Caenorhabditis elegans: one gene and its partner. The protein of the gene in region 1 binds, or shares a complex with, the protein of each later gene. Each region holds a gene or a part of one and is shown on either strand. Other genes may lie near its edges.

Evidence for each region. The genes of interacting proteins can lie anywhere in the genome.
Region 2: dys-1 (region 1) and dyc-1 share a complex: the UniProt entries of both Caenorhabditis elegans proteins name them as parts of the dystrophin glycoprotein complex.

What each region holds. Positions count from the first base shown.
Region 1 is NC_003279.8:11,554,637-11,559,884, reverse strand, and holds the start of dys-1 (Dystrophin-1), read left to right. Parts: upstream 1-2,033; 5' UTR 2,034-2,092; coding exon 2,093-2,162; intron 2,163-3,097; coding exon 3,098-3,417; intron 3,418-3,582; coding exon 3,583-3,707; intron 3,708-4,282; coding exon 4,283-4,398; intron 4,399-5,248. Other genes in the region: F15D3.9 (SAM-dependent methyltransferase), read right to left, coding at 1,240-1,464, 1,830-1,850. UniProt on the Caenorhabditis elegans protein: Plays a role in cholinergic transmission and as a functional partner of dystrobrevin (dyb-1), necessary for muscle maintenance. Required for neuronal positioning. May play a role in the localization of slo-1 near dense bodies in the muscle.
Region 2 is NC_003284.9:14,047,676-14,052,583, reverse strand, and holds the start of dyc-1 (Dystrophin-like protein 1), read right to left. Parts: upstream 3,050-4,908; 5' UTR 2,913-3,049; intron 2,757-2,912; exon of another isoform or gene 2,736-2,756; intron 1,770-2,735; 5' UTR 1,757-1,769; coding exon 1,640-1,756; intron 1,420-1,639; coding exon 1,348-1,419; intron 812-1,347; coding exon 657-811; intron 612-656; coding exon 503-611; intron 1-502. UniProt on the Caenorhabditis elegans protein: Together with dys-1 and hlh-1, participates in a common muscular function.

The DNA.
Region 1 (5,248 bases):
ACTATTGAAAAGTGGCAAAAATTGACAATTTTTTGTAAAAATTCACAATTTTGAAACTCCTCTAAAATGGTAAATTTTGTAGTTAGACGACTCAAAAATACAAAATTTACTCAAAAACATTTAAAACATTGCCCTTTTTTAGAATATAGTAGTTTTAAACATTATTTGGGAGATTTTCCGAATGAGAAGCTAATTTCGGAAAAATTCGGAAATTTATAAAGCCGCTTTTCATTCGAAATTTATTTTTATTTTTAAAAAAGTTTGGGAATTCTCAAAAACCAACTGTCCACCCGTTCCATTTAACAACCCAATTCTCAAATGTCCCCTCTAAAATTTTGATAGTAGAGCTCGCGGAGCACATCAGCAAAAGTAGCAGCTCCCAGGAAATGTCCGAATCATCATCAAATGCCGTTGGGGTATGTCCAAGAGGATGGTGCATTGTAACAATTGACTGACGACGGCAGCTGACGGATTGAGGGGTCCCCTCGTGCACACACGGGAATGCTCCGGGAGCACACACACACACTTTTCCATTACTATTTCCTACGAGAGTGTGGTAGACGTGCCGTTATTATTTTTTTGTGTTTTTGAGGTTAAAAATTGCTTCCAAGTCTGTTAAAAATATATTTGATGGCCTAGTTTTTGTTTTCTAGGCAGCCGAACTTGAATTTAAAAGCTTGACATTTTTGGTATGGTGGCTTAGAATTTCGAAAATTCAAGTTGCTTTCTTTTAACTTAAAATTAAAACATTTTTTGCGAATTTGAATTAGATGGCCTAGGATTTTCTGGAATGTTTAATTGAAAGATTTGGTTAGGCCACACAATTTCAGTTGCTGGCCTAGTTTTGATGTTCTAGGCCACCAATTTTTCTTTCAACTTTTCCGATGAATTTCACACACGTTCCAAACTTTCAGTAGTCACACTCATATTTTGCCTCATCTTTTTCATGGCCTAACTTTTCGATTTCGTGGCCTAGAACTTTGTCCATGAAAAAGTTTAGGCCACATGCTTTTTTTAAAAATATATCCCTTTTTATTGAAATGATTTTAAAAAAGTTTTTGTTAGACCCAAGATGATTGAGCCAAATTAGAGAAATTTGAAGTTGGTGGCCTAGAAAATTTCTAGACTATCAACTTCACAAGGCTCTAACTTGGCTGAAAATTATCATTTTCAGTTTTTTCAAGCCATATTTTTTGTTGAATTTTTGTATTTTCCTTCAAAATTTTTATTTTGAAAAAATCAATAATTAGAGATATCAAATGCATATTCCGATTGTTTCGCACAAATCTCATAGTCATTTGCACAACGAAAAGGAATTTGCGCAAATTCCGTCAAATCATGCTCCAAATTGTGCTCTTTTTCTGCTCCAAAACTGTGATCCATCCAATCGGATAAAATGCTTCTGTCCGACCCGTCGTTCGCACAATGCGTCCAAATTGTCTTCGCAGAACTGGCTTCGGTGGCCTAGAAATTCAAATTTTCTTGTGTTGCTGGCCTAGGATTGGTTCTCTAGGCCACTAAAATCAGCTTGATTTTTTTTTAAATGTTGATGTGTCACGTTAAATTTAACATGAATAGAGCTTCACCCATTTTGGTTTTTTTTTCGTTGGTGGCCTATGTTTTTCTAGGCCACCAACTTTAAATTTTAAATCAATATATTGTCAAATTAAAGGGTTTACTCACAATTAGCTCTTCACAAAAATCTACTTGAAAAACTCGAATTGGTCGCCTAGAAAACTAAAACTAGGCCACCAATATTTCGTTTTTAAATTTTTCTTCAAATTTTCTAAATTTTTTGAAATTAGAAAAACTAAAATAGAAAAACTTACACTTTTGTCACTGTTACTCATTTTTAGCAATATTTTTTTCTTTGAATTCTTTGAATTTTTTTTTAGAAATAAAAAATTTTCCAGAAAATTTCGTTCTTTTTTCGTAACTTTTATTTTTTGGAAAACTTCTAGAATAACCCCACGTTTTTTAAAAATAATTTTATATTCTACAACTTAATTTTTTTTTCTAATAAAAATCCCAATTTCAGATGCCAATTGGTGTATAGAATAGGCGAAAACGAACGAAAAAGTGCAACAACACCATGTTATTCTCGGGCGCCTCGACTGCGAAACCGAAAAAAGACGAGAAAAAGGACAAGAAAAGTGATCGCGGTGAGTTTTTTGAAAAATTTTTAAGACAAAAAAAAAAAGAAAAATCCCCGAAAAATGGCATAGAAATTTACCTTTTTTGATTTTCCAGGCCACCAACATAGTTTTCAGCATACATTTATTTTATATTTGTTTCTGTCTTACCGAGACCTTCAATTTGACAGCCATCATGCCTAGGATCCGACTATTTTGAGTTGGTGGCCTAACTTTTCAAGCCGTGACCGAGAAAATGCATTTGGGCCTGGACTTTAGACGCTCAGATTTTTGAAATGTTCTTAGTTTTTATTCCTTGTTAGGAGTATTCAAAAATTCAAAAATTGAATTTCAAATAGGTTCTGGGAGTTTTAAGTTGTTGGTGGCCGAGGAATTTCTAGGCGACCAATTTTAAATTTTGCCAGTAAGATAAAATTTGTAGAATTTTAAAGTGAAACAGTAATATTGTGTGCTTCTTAAAATTTAATTTCATAAAATTTAGCAATTTCTAAAAAAGTAAAAATTCTAGGCCACCAACTGAAAAGTTAGGCCATGGAATAAAATTTCCAAAGTATGGCAATATTGGTGTCATGTGAAAGCTATGAACGTGCAGAAGTCAGTGAAAAGCATTGTAATAATGAAAAATTATTTTTGTGGCCTAGAAAAAGCAAACCTAGGCCAGCGAGTCAAATTGGGTGGCCTGAATTTGGATTTCTAGGCCACTAGTTAACAAATGCCATTTTTCTAGCAAACTTCTTGAAGAGAACTAACTGTTGCCACCAATACTCTGTTGAACATATTTTATGCTGATCTAGAAATTTTGCTGGCCTAGAAATCTAAAACTAGGCCACCAAACTGTAAATCTGCTCAAAATTCATATTTTTCGATTTTTCAAAAACCGATTTGTAGAGTTTTTGACGGAAAATTTGAATTTGAACGTTAAAAGCTATGAATAAAATTTTCAGACCCAAAAAATGAGCTCCAAGAGTGGGTATTCGTGCGCTGGGCCAATCACCTGCTCGGAACAGAACGTCTAACCGATTACAAAAGCCTTCAAGATGGTTCAAACGCGATTTTTGTCTACCAAGCAATTATTGGACAGACTATGGCTGTACTGGGTAATCCATCCGACGATTGGCCTAATGTTTTGCAAAATATCGGGGATTCCAAGACGAATCCGCAGGAAGTTATGGAAGGGCAGCAGAAAGCGGTGCTCTCAGCCTGGTGGCAGCTTGTTCAGTTTTTCTGGAAAAATAATGCACCCGTGCAGTTACGGGAGGAAAAGGTGAGTTTTTTGAGTGTAAAATCAAGTGGAAATCTTTAAAATTGATAAAGTTACGGGGGTTTGAAAAATTAAAAAATAAATAAAAAATTTTGAAAAAAAAAATTTCGAAAATTTTTTTTAAAATTTTTTTCCTAGAATTTTTTCTATTAAATTTTCAAATTTCAGCTCTCCGAAGCCATCAAACAATGGTGCATTGAAGTCATGAAATCATACGAAGAAATTGACGTCTACGACTTTACATCTTCCTTCCGGGACGGCCATGCCTTCAATTACCTCATACATTCTTATGAGTAAGGGTTTTTCATTAGAAATTAATTTATTGATAATCAGTTTTTCAAGAGTTTCTAGATTCCATGAAACATGGTTTTATTCGAAAAAAAATTCAAAAATTTCAAAAAAAAAACACATTTTTTTGGATTTTTTCAATTCTAAATTTTCCAAAACAACTTTTAATCTTATTTTTTTTTAATTCAATATCAAATTTAAATTCAACATTTCATTACAGTCTATTTGACACCCATAATGCCTAGGCTCCGAAATGTTCAAGCTGGTGGCCTAACTTTTCACTACATGGCCTAGAAAACTCACTGGGACTTCAAATTTGGAAAACATAGGCCCTGGAATTTAATATTTTAAAGTATAGCAATATGGGTGTCATTTGAAAGGTTTCGGCGTGTAGAACTCGAGAACCCCATCAAAAAGAATTTTAGAGAGGGTCTCGCCGCGAAAACTACAGTACCCATGTGATTTTCGTGGCGGGATTCAACTTTTTCCAAAACTAATCATGATTATACTCAAATGAAAGCTCTCAGTGCGACAAACACAGTTAATATAGTTTCGAGCCCGAAATCCTGAACATTTTCAGCCGAAAACTGATAAACCTCACAAAAACCGCCGAAATGAGTGCCATCGACAGGATTGAAAACGCTTTTGCTGTCGCTGAAAAGACATGGAATGTGCCAAGGCTTCTGAATCCAAAAGGTTACTATTTCTAACCAAAAAAAAAATCGAATTCTACGCTGAAAAACCACGAAAAAACTGTTTTGGGCAAAGTGGCTTAGTGGAGAATAGGTGCACAGCTACGGAAAAACATACCAGGGTTCGACCCCCCGCTGCGGTCAAAATTTTTGTTTCTCAATTTTGAAAGTTTTTGAAAATTTTTGAAATCATTCACTTTTTATTTTATTTGAAAATGAAGATTTTGAGCCGAGTTACAGCAGTTTTACGCCTAGGCACAAGATTGACTACCTGACTGCCTAGTAGGTTTTAAAAAACTGATAGGCAAGCGTGTAGGCAGGCAGGCAGTGATGAAGACTTTCCTTCCTACAAGAACTGTCAACACTGAATTATCTATTTTCCAGTAATTCACTTGAGTTAGAGCTTCAATGCGGTAAGTCAAAATGGGTTATAAGTAGGCGCGAAGGCAAGTAGGTAGGTATTACGGGACAATGAGATCATGAGAATGCCTACTTTTCTGGCGGCAAATATCTCGTAGCGAAGGGACCGGCGTCTCTCTTCGCCATATGCTCTCTCGCTGCCGCGGCCTGTCAATATTTTCGCGCCAGTAAATAGGCATTCATCTCATGGTCCCGTAATAGGTAGGTAGGCACAAGATAGGTACATAGGTAGGCATTCAAAAAAGTAGATAGGCACAAAGTAGACACATAGGTAGGCAGGCAACAAAGGGTAAAAAGCCTACCTACACTGATGTTTTCCGCGTAATTTGGTTTTAAGTATATAGGTAACAAGACGAGAGATCACAGATAAAAGAGACGCAGACAGATTGCGTAACCGCCCGATCAGGGAGAACCATATATCCCTTTTGTCCCCC
Region 2 (4,908 bases), on another chromosome or scaffold:
AATCTTCAGCAAGGTCTGTAGTTTTTTAAATGAAAATTGCATTTTCTTGATAGTAGAAAAATGTTTGGGTAGTGTGGACAAGTGTGTAGACAATTCAATTTTTCAAATTGAGGGGCATTTACAGAATTACAAGAGTAGTATCGCCAATATGAAAAAAAAATTTTTGAGTCGGATAATATTCTAAATTGTGAACAAAATCAGTTTTTCCGCCACTTCTCGAAAATGGGAAGTTTCGGAAATGTAACACCTGTGGGAACTGATTAACAACGCGTTGGGAAATTGTATAGTGATTAAACATCGGTATTCATTTCTATAAATATTATTCAAAAAAAATTCATGTAATACATACTTAATTGAAAACCACATAAATTTTCAAATTCGATAGTTTCACCATATACAAAAAATTCAACATTTTAACTTTTTCGACGCTCTTTCTAAAAAAAAATTTGATCACAGTACTACTTCAATAATAATAATAATAATATTGAAAATAATGACTAACCTTTTTAGAACACTTAAATACATTGCATTTAAATGTGTTACTAGCTCCATCCCGTGCAATGTAGGAAAATATTTGAAGATCTTGAGAATCATGTGACACGTAGAATATCCTTCAAAATTTTTACAATAACAATTTTACAGAAATTTAACAATACCTGTATATTGGGTGAAACATGACAAGTAATTTAGATTCATCCCAAGAGAGACCTTTCTCTTTCTGTTTCTTCCGCTGAAGAACAACTTTGACACCATCGACGGATACGGTAATGTCGACCGGGCGTTTTTTGATACCACGAGCTTTGAATTCGTACTGAAAATGGTTTTATTCAATAATCAAGGAATTAGGAAAATAGATTTTCAAAAGCGTTTTCTTCAAACACTTCAATTTGGTTGTTTAAGAAAAAGTCAGTCAAAATCAACAAATATGACACGGTCAAATTCAAATTCACATCGATGATATGCTTGTTCAAATATTGATTGCTTATGTTTCCTTAATCAACAAAAAAAGTTTTAGATACGACTATAGGTTTTAGGTAAAAAAGTATCAGCTTTTTTGCAGTGTGGCAGATTATTCAATCAACGCCTAGCATTTACTGACTTTAATATTGATTGATTTAACAAACGAAAAAATTGTAGAGAAGAAAACACTAGCAAGTGTAGAATTTGTAAAAAATTCAATAAATTATGATCTTTCAAAGTATTACGATTCTATTTTCTACACTACTAATAATAATGTTGCAACCATGTAATTATACAAATTTTAGATTATACTACTAATTTTCAATTGCAAATTTCAGCTCATTTTGAATATATCTCTATTTGCGAGTTTTTATAAAAAAAACTCACTCGAACTCGTCGCATCGCCGCCACAATCTCGATTCTCGTCCCGGGTCTAGGAATTTCCATGCTTCCGACATACTGCAAAAACCCTTTTTGGATTAAATCCAGTAGTTTTGTTTTTGTTTTCTTTTTGAAAGAAAAAAAAAACTAAACTTCCCACTATGATTAAATTTGCAAACGCGTTAGGACCAAACTTGAAGACAATCTAATCTACACCCTCCGGGCTTTTCAGAATATTCAATGTTCGTTTAAACAAGATTAGCGTTGTACAAACATTCGAATACATCTTTTCACAAACCTTTGCTTCGAAATGAATACCATGCTGATAAGCGAGTTCGTTATGGAGTGGAATACGGCAGTCGTAGACATCGTCGGCGATGATATCGTACGGACCATGCTTTTTCCGCACAGGCATTATATCCTCACCTCTGTAAAATATGAAATAATGATGAAATGGTGGAAATGTTAGTAAAAAAGTATTAAAGAAAAACGGTTAGAGAAGTAAAACAAGATGTTAGATGGTTTCAGCAATAAAAAACATGGGTGTTTTGAAGAAAGTGAATTTTAAACAATAATCAAAAACAAAGTGGTATTAGACACTCGGCAAATCGCTGTTAGTACGGGAGGACGTATGTCGATTACAAATTCCTTGTTATAAACATAACATGTTTAAAAAAACTGAATGAATGTCAATTTTAATAAAGTACAGAGCCTCTGGTTTGTAAATGTTTTTTATTAATAATATTACTGGATTGCGTTTCCGTAATAATACATCTTTTTTGCACTTTCTACTTGACCGAAATGTTTTCGTGCAGATGAAAATAATGAAAATTAAAATATTTACATGATACTACGCAAGACAACATTTTATCAGAAAGAAAATTTGGACTTTAAAACTATTTTCACGCAGAAAAGGCCATGAGGTTTCAAAACCAATTTTTTGTTAGGTTAAGATAGGGCTGGTAATCCAGAGGACTGGCCTTTCCGAATGTACTGATTTTCGGACAATCGGGCGTTCGGTTTTGAACATTCGTGGATTTATGGGAGCGTATATCCCGACATTTTTTTGTGTTCCGCGTCTCATTGTGATAATGCGTGCGTTTCTATAGTAAGCAGCGGAACCCAGAAAATGTCAGGATGTAAGCTCCCCTAATTCCTGTGATAAAAAAAATTTCCACCTTATTTTGCCACCCATGGTGACTCCATGTGGGCGGACGTCCAGATGGCCAGCCCTAGGTGGAAAAATAACAAAAGTTGAAGTAGTGCCAGAATGTTATTTATGCTGAAAATCAGCAGAAAAAGAGATAACATTTTCAACAATTTTCCGAATGTATTGATATTTTAGTCCATGTTTTAGGTACACTATTAGAAATTCATTTTAAAAATTACTATGCTTTCAACTGTAAATTAACAAAGATTTTTTGTGCACTTTGAAGAAAATTGTTAGTTTCATATTCTGACTTTTCAGCCCCTAAACAACTTTCCTACTGATGCTACTCCGTTTCTAAATGGACAATAAACACTTGTTAAACATTTCTGAAAAAAAACGCTCACTCAAAACCGTATCAAACCTTCAACTGCATATCGAGTATATCAGCTACCATGAGCCAGTATACTACGAAGCAATTGTCCGATATCAGGACAATTTGGATATCGTATTGAAACTGGTGGTGACGTTGGAAAACGTTGGGTGAAGAGGTGAGGTTCGCTGAAAACTCAGTGATTAAGCTGCTAAAAATGACAAAAAGGGCACACTATGAAAAAAGAGCAAACGAGGAAAAATAATTGAGTGATGATGAGAAATGATGAGGAACAATGGGCCAAGTAGATGGGGGAGAGAGGAAATGAAAGAAGAAATGAATAACTCATGCGGCAACGCAATTTTAAACACTAAAACCAAATATTTTTGCTTCTGATCATTTTCCTGGAGGAAAAACGGATAAGGGAGTATTGAACAAAAGAGCAAATGCAGAGAAAAGTGTAGGTAGTGTAGCTAAAAGGACTTTTAAGGAAAGTGGACTGACCAAAAGTCCGTCCGCAAATTGAATATGAGAATGGAAACAGGAGGAAAACGGAAGCCGATGTTAAGAAGGAGGGAAAGAAGTTTAGGATGATGGGGGGGGGGGGGGGGGGGGGGACAGAAGAAATAGAAGAAGTTGCGAGCCGAACAAAACTGGAAATTGGTTGGTTGGGAGACCGATGAGCGAGGTTCCCTGGAGACGTTTTCAAATAGGAATATAAAGATTGAAGATGTGTTGAGAGAAAAAAATAAAATAAAAACGCAAAAAAAGAGGAGGGGCGCCTACAAAACGGCTACAAATATGATTGTCAGTGCGGGGGAAAGATATTTCTACTTTCATGGATTTGAAATGAATAAATGTAATGTTATATATATTATACAATACAAAACTTGTGTTACTGTATTTTTCAAGTAGTTCCATGCTTTCATATGAATTTTTAAAATTACCATTATTACTAACACAGCACGTGATGGCAAGCGGTCTCATTACGATTTGATTTACAAAAAAGGCGACGTCAGCACACCTTCAAAAATGCCAAAAAAATCTGTCGAGAAGTCTGCGTCTAGATCCCCGCACATTCCGTAGATCTACGTAGATCAAACCAAAATGGGACACTCTGACACCAAGTGACACAACTCTTATAAACTCGTTTCTCTGATTGATTAGTTGAAAAAAGCTGATAGTATTCACTACAAAAGCAATGATACAAGGAAAATTAGTGCAATATCAAACATTTCGGATTGGTACAAGTAGAATGGCATACCAAACCATTATCGCAATGCATCTAAAAATAATTCAAAAAAAAATTAATGTCAGTTGAATTTCCAACATTGTGACAAAAAATGTGGTGTTAATTATTTTACGTGGTTTCGTATACTGAAAAACTGTATTTATTTACATGTTGATGTCAATGTGAAACATGATAAAAACAAAAAAAAAGCTTCACTATTTAGGAAAACTATATGAATTAAAAAATTACACATAGTTTGCGATTGGGAAACAAATTTCAAAAAAAAGGAAACCATACTTTTTTTTAGATATTGGCAGTAGCATAATGCACTAGAGCAAATATACGAAGTTATATTCTAGAAATTTGAAAGAAACGCAACAAAAATCAAGATGAAAGCATGCAAGTTTTGCTCTTTATATATCGTCTCATCACCCGTTCTTCTGCGACATTGGAAGCAATTATCCACACTATCACTCAGTTCCTAATCGATTTGAAAATAGAAAAAAAAATCGGAAAATGGAGGACAAAACAGGGGCAAAAAGAGAAAAGCGGTCGGCGGGGAAAAGAAAACGAAGAAGCGGTTGCGTGTGTGCCGTACTCTCTCATCGTCTTGTCTTGCGCAATTAGTTGTGATTTTAGGAAGCATGCGTGTGCATGTATGGGTGCACTTGTAGCTGATTGACTTATGCGCATCTCCTTCTTTGATAGAATTGCCGAGTAGAAGAGTTTAGATTTGTTGGAGTGATGGAGAGGAGTCACCGCTCCTCCTCATCCTATTCCTCCACATCTTCTTTTTTATTGTGACTGACTTTGTCG